3 linked regions of the Arabidopsis thaliana genome follow. The main gene of each other region encodes a partner of the protein of the gene in region 2 in a complex. Each region holds a gene or a part of one and is shown on either strand. Other genes may lie near its edges.

Region 1 (3,829 bases), on a different chromosome or scaffold from region 2:
CTTGAAAGTATTTTTCTTCACAACAGTTTGTGCCAAGGCCCTTGCCCCAGCTCTTCTGATCATGTTGGTGCTCAGGTCAACTTCAACTAACTGATCATGACCTTCAACTGCCTTTGCAATTAAGATAGTCCCTTCGTCTTTGAGTTCATTCTCAGATAAATTCAGCTTTGCAAGAGACTGTTTGGAGGCGATGCAAGCTGCCAAATTTCCAGTGGATTTTACAGTAATGTCGTTACCAGCCAATTCTAGAACTTCAAGAGAAGGGGCGGACTTAAGTAGAGCTTCAGAAAGTGCCTCTGTTCCCTCATCCTCCAAGTTCAGGTAACTCATATAGATCTCGGTTAAATGAGTCAAGACTGATAAAGTCTTGGCCAGGGCAATTCCACCTTCGACTCCAAACATGTTGTCACGAAGATCAAGTTTCTTCAAGTGGCTACAGTGTTCAAGTGCTTCAGCTAGTGCAACACCACCTTCTGAACCAATCCTTGTAGATGAACACCGGAAATCTTCCAAAGATGGACACTCCCTGACAATCTCTGCAATGGCAGTTGCTCCTTCATCTCCTGTCATGTTGTTATGAAACTGAAGAACCCTGATTTTGTCAGTAGAAGGGAGAAGCTCACGAACTGCACGTGCAGCATCCTCGGAAATGCCATCATTCATCAGATAGAGCTCCTCCAAGTCATGCTGAGAATTGATGAGAGAAGCAAATGCCCTAATTCCCTTTTCTCCCAAAGCATTGTCCGAGAGATTCAGATACCTAAGCTTAGAACCCTCTAAAGCAGATGAAAACATATTCATGACTTCAAGCGCTTCAGCCTCTGGTCTTCCTGCAACAAAATCCGAGAGATCCACTTCCGTCAGCTGATCCTTGATGGAAGACAAAACGCTCGCAGCAAATTTGGCTGCTTCAGACCCAAAACTCCTGTTGCTAAAACGGATTTTGGTATAGGAGTTACGCGGGTCAGCCAGAGGCCTCAAAAGGTCGCGTGCCTCCTCTTCTTCAATAAAAGCTCTGCTCCCACCAGATATATCAAAAAAGACATCACCATCCTTGCTCACCTCAACCTCGGATTCTTCCTGTGGACCACGTTTGATGACATCAAGCATGAGCTTGCTGGATTCTTTAGCATAGACGTGAACAGCAGAAGTGCCATCACCATCAGGCTCGTTCTGGAAGTGTTTGTTGGCAGTAGCAAAGGCCAAATCTTCAATGCGCTTGGCGTCTTGCTCAGCCTCTTCAACAGACAAAAGACCGTACTTCCTGGAGAAGATGGAAGGGGTGGTAATGTTCTTGGTCATCCGCTCAACAAGCATGAGACGGGTACTCTTACTCGGTGGCCACATCTTCACTGACAAAACACGGTTCTGTGTGGTTTTCGCTGAATGATCCATTCTACTACTGCTTGGTTTTCTTCTGTAATTCAATACAAGGACAACCATTACTCAATCTGACATAGTATTCCAAGGAAAAAGAGAGAGCATAACATGTAGATCCAATCGAAAACGAAGATGGTGTCGAAGAATCTAACTACATTTCTATTGTAAATCCATTAATTAAAAACTGCATTTTTTAGACAAGGAAACCCTCAAAATCACACTGCAAACGAGAAGAATATATTTCGAAACAAAAAGAAACCCAGAAACATGAGAGAACAATACGACGGTACCTTTTTTTTCTCAGCGGATGGATCGAAGAAATGGGTCTCTCTATACTCTCTCGGACGGAGAAAAAGAAAGGAATAGAAAAGTGAATTCAAAGAAGAAGCGTGAATGAGAAGCAGAGTGAGAGAATCATTGATCTGCGTGCGTGACGATAATGGGAGGCAATGATGCTTTAGTTTATTTTTGAAAATCAAATTTCAAAAATCAAAAAGACAAACATCGGAGAGCCCATCCATGGAGATTAGGGTTTATTCTATCTCCGAAATGACGATTAAGCCCCTACACAACCCTAACCACGAAAGCCCAAAGCCCATTAATAACTAATTTAGAAAGCCCAGTCTTCTTCTTGCTAAAAATTAATAATGGAAAAAAGACAGGGCAGCGCAGCGATGATTAAGGTGACACGGTGGGCTCCCACCACCGCCAGCTGGACTCGCCGACGGTGAACTGTCTCTCTCTACCACACATCACTCCTTCCTTCTGTCCTTTCTTTTTTGTATTTATTATTATTATTCATTTTAAAATCAAAAACCCTTAAATTATTAAATAAAATAAAATAAAAGGCAATAATGGAAACTTTCCTTCTTCTTCACAATTCTTCGCGGCTTCTTTTAGCTTCTAAGCTTCAGAGCAGCAAAAAAAAAACAATGGAGAAGCGCCGGAGATAGATCTGCTTTCTTCCATTCTCCGGACCTTCTCTAGTTCACGAACCAACTTCTTCCACTTTATTCTCGTAAGCTTCTTCCACTTTATTCCTAATTCTTGACTCTCAAGATTCTTGGTACTTGGTAGGTAGGGAGACATATAGAGAGGGTTTAGGTTCTTGATTAGGAATTAGTTCACCTGCTTGAAATTTACTCTACATACGTCTTCTATTTCAAAACCCTATTCAAAGTTACCATTTTTATGCACATCATCATCTTCATTGCAGATTCGTTGGAGAAATGGACTCTCTCGCAACCGATCCAGCTTTCATTGATTCGGATGTATACCTCAGGTTAGGACTTATTATTGAGGGCAAACGATTGAAAAAGCCACCGACTGTTCTCTCACGCCTCTCTTCTTCTCTGGAGAGATCTCTGTTACTCAATCATGATGACAAGATTCTGCTTGGATCGCCAGACTCTGTTACCGTGTTTGACGGGAGATCTCCCCCTGAGATCAGTATTGCACACTACTTGGATCGCATTTTCAAGTACTCTTGCTGCAGTCCCTCCTGCTTCGTCATTGCGCATATCTACATTGATCACTTTCTCCATAAGACCCGAGCCCTTCTCAAACCCCTTAATGTCCACCGCCTTATCATTACAACTGTCATGTTAGCTGCTAAAGTCTTCGATGATAGGTATGTTACTCACTAAACCTGGTATCAAATTCAACACGCAAATAAGTCTTCAATCATAGATTCATTGATCTCTGGTGTTGTGCAGGTATTTCAACAATGCATACTACGCAAGAGTGGGAGGTGTGACTACGAGAGAGTTAAACAGATTGGAGATGGAGTTGTTGTTTACCCTTGACTTCAAGCTTCAGGTAGATCCTCAGACGTTTCACACACACTGTTGTCAGTTAGAAAAGCAGAACAGAGACGGCTTCCAGATCGAGTGGCCCATAAAAGAAGCATGCCGAGCCAACAAAGAGACTTGGCAGAAGAGGACACCCGACTCACTCTGCTCTCAAACCACAGCACGCTGATCGGCAAGGGTAAGATAGGATTATTTTGTGTTTTAGTAGTGATGATTCTTTTGCATGATTGATTGTTTGTGACAATTGTGTGTAGTAGAAAATCTGAAAATTTCTACCAACTCATTCTTTAAGAAGTTGCTATAATATAGTTTCCTTGATACTGGTTAAACTACTAAATAGATCTCTACTTTACATCAAACCGCAACTATTCCATCTGCTGCTGCATTTCACATTAGCGACAGGAGGCTCTGCTGCTTTGCCATTACAAGGAGTATCGTTAATCTTGGGCGGTGGTTAAGCAGCAGTAGCAGGAGCCTCAACATTACCACAAGCACCTGAACCACCACCGCCATTGCTATTCTTAGGGTCAGAGGACGGTGGTGCGATTGGAGATAGTGAGTCCCGTGAGTGGTAGCCCCTGGGATCATCATGTGACTCCTTAAACGTTATACTGATGACCCTCTTGTCGGTAATCTTT
Region 2 (3,829 bases):
TCGGGGTGAGGTGAATTTGCTTCGCTGACTTGTTCATGATGCTGTGGCATTGGTTCATTCCCGATCTCCTGGAATTGCTGAACCTCTGCAAATGAAATTTCATAAAGAGTCACATTAAACATCATAATCATTGTTCATGTGATGTTATTAGTTGATTCCAACATGATAATGCAGGCTCATAACAAGAAATAGTTATGTAACAGCAGTAAAAATAATGCAAGTTTAGATACAATCCGCAGCAAAAAAATAATCAGAATGGCTACCTTTTTCAAGAGCATCTTGCAAGGCCAAGAAACCGTTGATGGCCTCTGTTAATGGATCCATTTCATCTGAGTAACGATTGTCCGTGTTTATCGACTCTCCGCCTTCTCCTCCCGCATCATCTTTTCTCATTGACGTTTCCCCATTTTCACCATTGTAGTCCATCATTCTTCCACTCTGCTTTCTTGAGTCAGATTCCAAGCTGGAATAAGAGTTTTCCTTCTCGAAATCGACACTTTCTCCTCTATGTTTCTTACTATTCTCTACACGAATGTTTCCTCCCTGACCTGAACTAATCATTGGCTTCTCATACCTAATAACCTTGGGAGCTCTTGCAACCGTGGAAGACTTACTACTCCGATCATCATCTATCTCTAAATCCATACCAGCTGAAAAACCAACCCCTGCCACAAACCTAGAATCGTAACCACTACTCCCAAGTATATCAAAACCATCACCGCTACTTTTCAACATATTAACAGACCCAACAGATCCCTGACTCTCTTGTTCAACTTCCGGTGACTGAAACTGCATCTGTTTACCATGTGAATGAGCAACACCTGACAACCCTCTCTTCAGAGCTTTACTATTCTCCATATTCGCAGACGTGTCCTTAACAAGATCTCTCCTAATCCTCCTCCATTTTCTCAAGCCTTGTCCTTTCAAAACCGGAGAATAAGCACCACCACCATCACCTGGTGAATCAAAACTCATAGGTTTACCGAGTTCAACAGAATTAGAAGTCGAAAGCAGTTTCACACTCTCATCAGAGCAAGACCCGTTATCCAAACTCCTACCATCATCACAAACGTTGCTGGCACTTTGTTGAATCAAAACATTATCATCAACAGACTCAAGTGCAGAGCTTTCACTCTCCAAATCCATTGACTCCACAAAAAAATCTATCCCCCACCAAATTCACATCGGTTTCAGAAGTAACAGGAGCTCAGATCAATAACCCAAAACCCGAAATGAGGATCCCAAATTCGATCATACACAATCAAAAAGTCAACTCAACAAGCTATACAAATTCATTGGTTCCTTGACGGTTAAATAGAAATATAAAGGTCTAAAATTTCCTACCATGCCACCATCTATCGGATCAAAGAAGAGAAGAAATGATTCCAAAAATGAAAATCCAGCTCAATGGAAGAACACAGATTTCGAATTGAATCGCAAAGTTTTGGTCTTTTTGGAGAAAGGAAGGGTATACAGCAGAGAGATGGAAAAAGGAGGGTGAAAAGTGAAAACCCTAATCCAATGATCGGATTCGCAGATCTATAATTCTCTCGTTCAATGTGGAAAGTTTCTTTGTGGGAAAAAGTTTATTCTTTTTTCCCTCATGATCAATTTTGTTCCTTTTTGAAAATTACGTGTGGGTGGTTGGAATATAACACGTGTCGGAATCGCCTGACCTCTCAGCATCACCTTCTTCATTTTTGACCGTGAGATTGGACACGACATATATATACCGTTAATAATTATCATTTTGGTTATTACAATTTCAGAAAATTGTTGAACTGACCTAAAACATGGGGACAGTGTGAGAATAAACAGAGAATTACAAAGGGTACATACAACCATAAAACACCACAAGTCACATTCTTACATCATCTGAGAGGATTGAGATTAGCACAAACGAAATTGGGCTACTACACACTCATTACACAGACTGAAGAAACATAACAAAAAAAAAGAGAATCAGAAAGGCTTCTCGTAGCCTCGAGCTGGAGGTTGGTCCCAAGCTTGCAAGAATGCTGCACAATTGCAAAGACATAATGAATCTCAGCTCTTTAAGAAGCTAAAATAGAAAAGAGAAAGAATTTGATATTGGTCTTACTCAATGGTATTTCTCCGAGTGACATGAAGATCGAATCATCGTCTGTATTATTTGGTACTTGGTCATTTCCAATAGCTCCCTGAGACGTTTTCAGGATCTGTTAGCAACAACAAACATTCTATGTGACATAAAACTTGACAAGTAGAGTAGGTACCTCTCGGTCTTGAAGGCTAACTGTGTTGTTATTCTGTGGGACACTACTGGTTCCCTGGTTTATTGGAGTAAAGGAATCAAGATACTCTACCATCATGAGTCTTTCATTGTAGTCTGGGACGTCATCGATGCCCATATATGGAGCAGCTTCTTGCCTGTTAGATATGAAAACCCATTAGCCAAAATGTAATAGGTGTGTGTATATATAAGTGTTAAGAGTAGGACTTGGCCGTACTTTCTTCCTGGATCATTGCTGGACTTTACCACTTCTTGATCATCATCCAAATTAATCACTTCTATCTCTTTACCATTGCTCATCCGAGTACTCGTACCAAACTCGAGAGACTTACTAGAACTGCTGATTGAGAGATCAAAATCAACAGCTTGACGAGATTCCTTTATCCCATCATTCACATCCGACGCTCCCCCTAGATTTAGGTCACACATCTTAAACGAAGCAGGAAACAGCTGATGTTCTTCAGCATACCCTGGACCTGTTCTGCCAGTGTGTGTCCTATTGTATGTAGAGTTATTAACCAGACTTTCATGGCTGACCCTTTTTCCAGCAGCACCGTCAATCAGTCTTTTGTTGAACGAGCTTGTCTTTCCTTCTTCTTCCGGATCGCATTGGTTTCCGCTTGTTTTAAACATGTTGAAGCGTTCATTAGCTTCAGAAACTGCCACCCAATCTCTCTGTCTTTTTGATCCCTCCTCCAAGTCACTGCCTTCACCAGGCCTTTTCTCACCTACTTTCCCCACCGAATGTGATCTGTGCAGATTAGGCAATTCTAATCCTGATTCTTTCTCACTGTTATCCCTGAGAATGCTACTGGGAAAAGAATTAGACCTATGACATTTACTGTTCTCAATATATTGAACAAGAGCAAAATCTTCAACTTGGTCATTTTCATCACCAGTACTATCGGCCTTTCCAGATGATTGGCCTCGAGTCTCACATCGATTTTCGGTTTGATCTTCTTCTTCAAGTCCAGAATTATGAGAGGTATCCTTGATATTATGACTCAAATAAAGCTTTGGGCCTTTTGCAGTCAGAGAAGAGCGTGTCCTCGTAGGCACCTTCTCAAATTTACACAGCGTTGCCAAATCAATACCACTCTTGGTGAATGATTCATCAGCCCCACACTGTTGATCAATAGATGCATCTTCACAACGTTGATGGATAGATCCATCTTCGATAGCAGTCTGGTTCTCATCCTCTCCACCATTACCACCAGACCTACCTTTCATCTCTCCTGATCCAGCACTCAAGCTAGAAGAGCCTTCGGATACTTTAGAGATTTCACAATCCTGTACTATATCTTTCCCGGCACTCGAGGAACCTGTCTTAGACTGTGCCTCATCCTGGAGATTGTACTTGTCCAACACAGACTCGGAATCACCTGCTCCTTCACATTTTCTCATAAATTCACCAGAGGCTGACCGCTGAACCGAGCTAGCAATATCTTCAGCAAGCGGCTGCTCTTCTTGATGCCCAGACACAGAGTCGTCACCAGTCTCAGTCTCAAAAGCTTTACTTCTCTCTGACCAAGATCCGCTCCTCCCAAAATCCGAGTC
Region 3 (3,600 bases), on a different chromosome or scaffold from region 2:
AACCGTAAGATTAGTATTGCCTTTTAGTGGTCAGACAAGAAGAAATTTATCAGACAAATGATCACAAGGATGAACAATGATGGAAAGCAATGTGTGACCATCACATTACACACTCTTGAGACTATTTCCCTTCAGCTACTGTTTCCTAAGGATATCCGTAAACAGTGAATATTACAGTTCCACTAATTGTAAACTTACAAGCTCTTCCCATACATACGGTTCTTTTCTCTGTCAACGATGTCCCAAACAAAGCACAACAACACAGTGGCATTGATATTAGACAAAGGAACTGCTAAAGCTAGTGATTTGCAGAAAATAACAATAGGTAAAATCCTCCTCAATGCATATTGTCACAGCTAGTGCCTAAACTAAACCTCAAACTATAAGAACTCAAATTCACAAAACTAGTTTCTTGCCCTCTATTCGATAACCTATTGTCACCAGCAATCCAATCCGAAGTACAGGGCATCTCAATACCAACAACATTTAACAGAGAACCCTTCTTGAAGGCTCAAATTAACATATAAAAATCAATCATTTTGTGAAAGTTTAGTATTGAGATGTTAGTACTACCTTAGAGACATGTTCCAAAGTAACAGCTTCTGGAATTATTGGTGCTCTTAGCCTGACTAGAACATATCCATTGCTTCCTTTCAGAGGAAAACACTGTCCAGGCTCCCCGAAACTCGGAGTTAACATCTTAACCGCTTTGCTATGAACCCGTCTCCTGCTTGTCCCAAACCAATTACGCCCATTTCCAACAAGAAACGGATCCGAATGCCCCATTACAAAAGCTCCACCAGACGCTAACGCATAATCTACTCGACCAAGGCCATCTGCAACATGTTTCCCTATCTCTTTCTCCACTATGTCACGAGCATAAGCCCTCAGTTTATCAATGTTAACATCAGAATCACCGACCTTACCCTTCTTCAACTCCTCGTAAACTCTCTCTAACTCCTCTCTAGACACCAAAGGTTTAGCATTTAACTCATCTACAGAAACCTGTAACCTCTCTGTCTTAGACTCTACCTTCTTCAACTCACTATGTAACACAGAAGATGTGGAATCTATCGTCTGCCTCAATGCTCTTGATTCACTATCCATCTTCTTATCAAGAAACTCAACTTGAACCTGCATCATCTTCGTCGTAGTCTTCACCAAACCATCAACTGCAGAAATCCGACTCTCCAATTCCGAAAGCACCATTTCCGTTTCAATTGGGAAATTCGAAGAAGACAGAGACGAATCCTTCAAAGTCAATTTCCTAATCAACTGAATCAATCCAACAAGTAACAAAAGAGCCCCAAATTGCTTCGCGAATACCCTAACCACTGTCTTCCATTTCCCTCTATCTATCTTATTCCCCTGAGACTTCCGCGTCCGACGCTGCGTGGTGGTTGTATTAGTCCCCGTCGCGGTGGATCCTGATTTCCTTGTCACCGGACCTACGTCGTAGGTGTTGGATCTCTCACCGGCAGCCTCGGCGCGAATCAGATCCTTGTTCGTACCAGCAGACGACTCTCCAATTGCCGCATTGGCATGAGATTCGCTCGGCGGGAAATCAAAATTAGATTTCTTCTCACCGGAGAGAACCGGCGTCCGCCTTATTGTCCTAGGACTAGCGGTGATTGACACCGTTGACGCCGACATGATCTTCAATTTTGAACTACAGAATTCGAAATGCTCTTCCTTATGAATAAATAAACCCTAATTTTGACTACAGAGAGAGAGATTTGAAATGGAAGAAGAGTGAGGAAGTTTATATAGGAGAGAGATCACTACAAAATTCAATTTTGAAAATCTGAATCGTGTGTTCTTCAGTTTCGCCATTTTTATTTGTTTTGATGCTCCTCCATTTTTTTCAAAATTCATTATGATGGGCTTTTAAAAGCCCAATAATGGAAATAAAATGGCCCAGCCCACTTTCACGCCTCGTCATCTTCTTTTATGCTAAGAAGAAACTGTTGCTTCATCATTCTTGCATATCAAGATATCTAGAGTCGAGATAAGCTCATGATTAAAGAAAGTAAATTTATTCACCAGACTATTATTATATATACACAAGGGTACGTTATAAGCATTTATGGAATGTAATTAGATTTGAACCACAAAGAGACTTTTGACATGAAAGTTGATACTTCCTTGTCATTGTTTCTCTTCACACAGTGGTAGTTTTCTGATGGGAAGAAGAATCAGAGATTGGCATTCTTATCTTTGCAGATTCCTTCAACAAATCGAATGAAGAAAAGGAATGTGGCGGGAGAACAACGGTCATATCCTCCTCTGCCAACTCTAGCAAGCTTTCATGTGGTACAACCTGCAAATAAAAACCAATAAGAACATGGGAACACTCAGAATTTGTGATGATAATGATGTTTCTTCCATCTCTTGATTTTTACCTTCTCTGGCTGTGAGAAGGAATTTTCATCCATCACATTGGTAGAGGTAAGTACTGTCTTCTTTGATCCCGAAACTCTCATCACGTTCGGGTCCAATCCAGTTACCAACACTTGCATATTTTCTGAGTTAGCTCCGAAGTTTACAGCCTGCAAATAACAGATTTTGAAACAGTTTTTTAGGGTCAATATCAGAGCTCCGGTTGAATCTTTCACTCGGTTTACCTTTATGCGTATGTAATCTTTGCCATTGTTTTTCCAAGAGATAGCAGATGCAACAAGAGAAGTAGAGTTTCCCTTGAGTGTTGAAGTGAGAAGAGTTGCTCCGCTTGACTCTGCAAAAAACCGTTGAACCCAATAGCTAGGTGTTCCATATAGATGAGAGGAGTTGAAGACTATTGCATCAGGGTTCCACCTGAAACCAATTTAACAATTTGAGATTATTGCCTTATCTTCCTGAGTAACCATTCGAACGGAAAAGTAAGTGAGAGATACCGTCTATCATTTGTGTTCACAAAGAGTGGAGCATAACTTGCCATTTCAACAATGTCACTGCAAAAAGTCATAAGATGTTTAACTTATTTGATGTTTTTAGTTGAGATCAAAGCCTGGGAAGAGAAATTCAAAGGGAACCTATTCTTTTCAAGACCAATGAGAAACGCAGCTTCTGCAAGAGAGGCAAGAAGGCTTCCTGTACCAGCATCTTTTCCAGTAACAGCATATTCACTGACAAAAGCCTGTAAACAAAGTTCACGAGTGAGTAAAACGCTGAAAGCTTCATCTTGTGTTTGTTGGAATTAAGTTTTGTTATAATCTATTACCGCACCTTTGGACCTTTGCGTGAAGTGCGATCAAATTGATGATACATGGAAAACAAATTGCTAGCAGAAGTGTAAATCTGTGACAAAAAGGAAACACTTTTTTCAGGCGGAAGAGAGAACACAAGACAACGGTTACAGTTTCTGTCAAGATAGAAAATTTTACGTGATAGTCATAGTAATCAGCTGGGTGGTCGAGTGGATGAGAGGATCCATCGCAGTTGGAGATGATTTTGATATCTGGATAGGCTTTCTTGATAGCATCATAGAACACAATGTAGTTTCCTGTAAAGTTGTAATCTCATTTAGTGTCAAAGATGCTCAACAAAAATCTAAGTCAAGATGTGATCATAGAGAAATGCAAAACCTCTGTAGTAAGTTTT

Evidence for each region.
Region 1: WIP1 (region 2) and RANGAP1 share a complex: the UniProt entries of both Arabidopsis thaliana proteins name them as parts of the ran complex.
Region 3: WIP1 (region 2) and SUN2 share a complex: the UniProt entries of both Arabidopsis thaliana proteins name them as parts of the LINC complex.

Annotation. Positions count from the first base shown.
Region 1 is NC_003074.8:23,322,674-23,326,502, reverse strand, and holds the start of RANGAP1 (RAN GTPase activating protein 1), read right to left. Parts: upstream 2,025-3,829; 5' UTR 1,671-2,024; intron 1,418-1,670; 5' UTR 1,396-1,417; coding exon 1-1,395. Other genes in the region: CYCP1;1 (cyclin p1;1), read left to right, coding at 2,610-3,010, 3,096-3,360. UniProt on the Arabidopsis thaliana protein: GTPase activator for the nuclear Ras-related regulatory protein Ran, converting it to the putatively inactive GDP-bound state. Plays a role in spatial signaling during cell division.
Region 2 is NC_003075.7:13,363,054-13,366,882, reverse strand, and holds the start of WIP1 (WPP domain interacting protein 1), read right to left. Parts: upstream 1,601-3,829; 5' UTR 1,147-1,600; coding exon 264-1,146; intron 86-263; coding exon 1-85. Other genes in the region: AT4G26450 (uncharacterized protein), read right to left, coding at 1,963-2,018, 2,102-2,180, 2,256-2,409, 2,490-3,829. UniProt on the Arabidopsis thaliana protein: Mediates and enhances the nuclear envelope docking of RANGAP proteins mediated by WIT1 and WIT2 in the undifferentiated cells of root tips.
Region 3 is NC_003074.8:3,358,870-3,362,469, forward strand, and holds the start of SUN2 (SAD1/UNC-84 domain protein 2), read right to left. Parts: upstream 1,834-3,600; 5' UTR 1,654-1,833; coding exon 574-1,653; intron 1-573. Other genes in the region: ASD1 (alpha-L-arabinofuranosidase 1), read right to left, coding at 2,162-2,320, 2,403-2,549, 2,625-2,814, 2,895-2,951, 3,033-3,136, 3,226-3,297, 3,384-3,502, 3,585-3,600. UniProt on the Arabidopsis thaliana protein: Component of SUN-protein-containing multivariate complexes also called LINC complexes which link the nucleoskeleton and cytoskeleton by providing versatile outer nuclear membrane attachment sites for cytoskeletal filaments.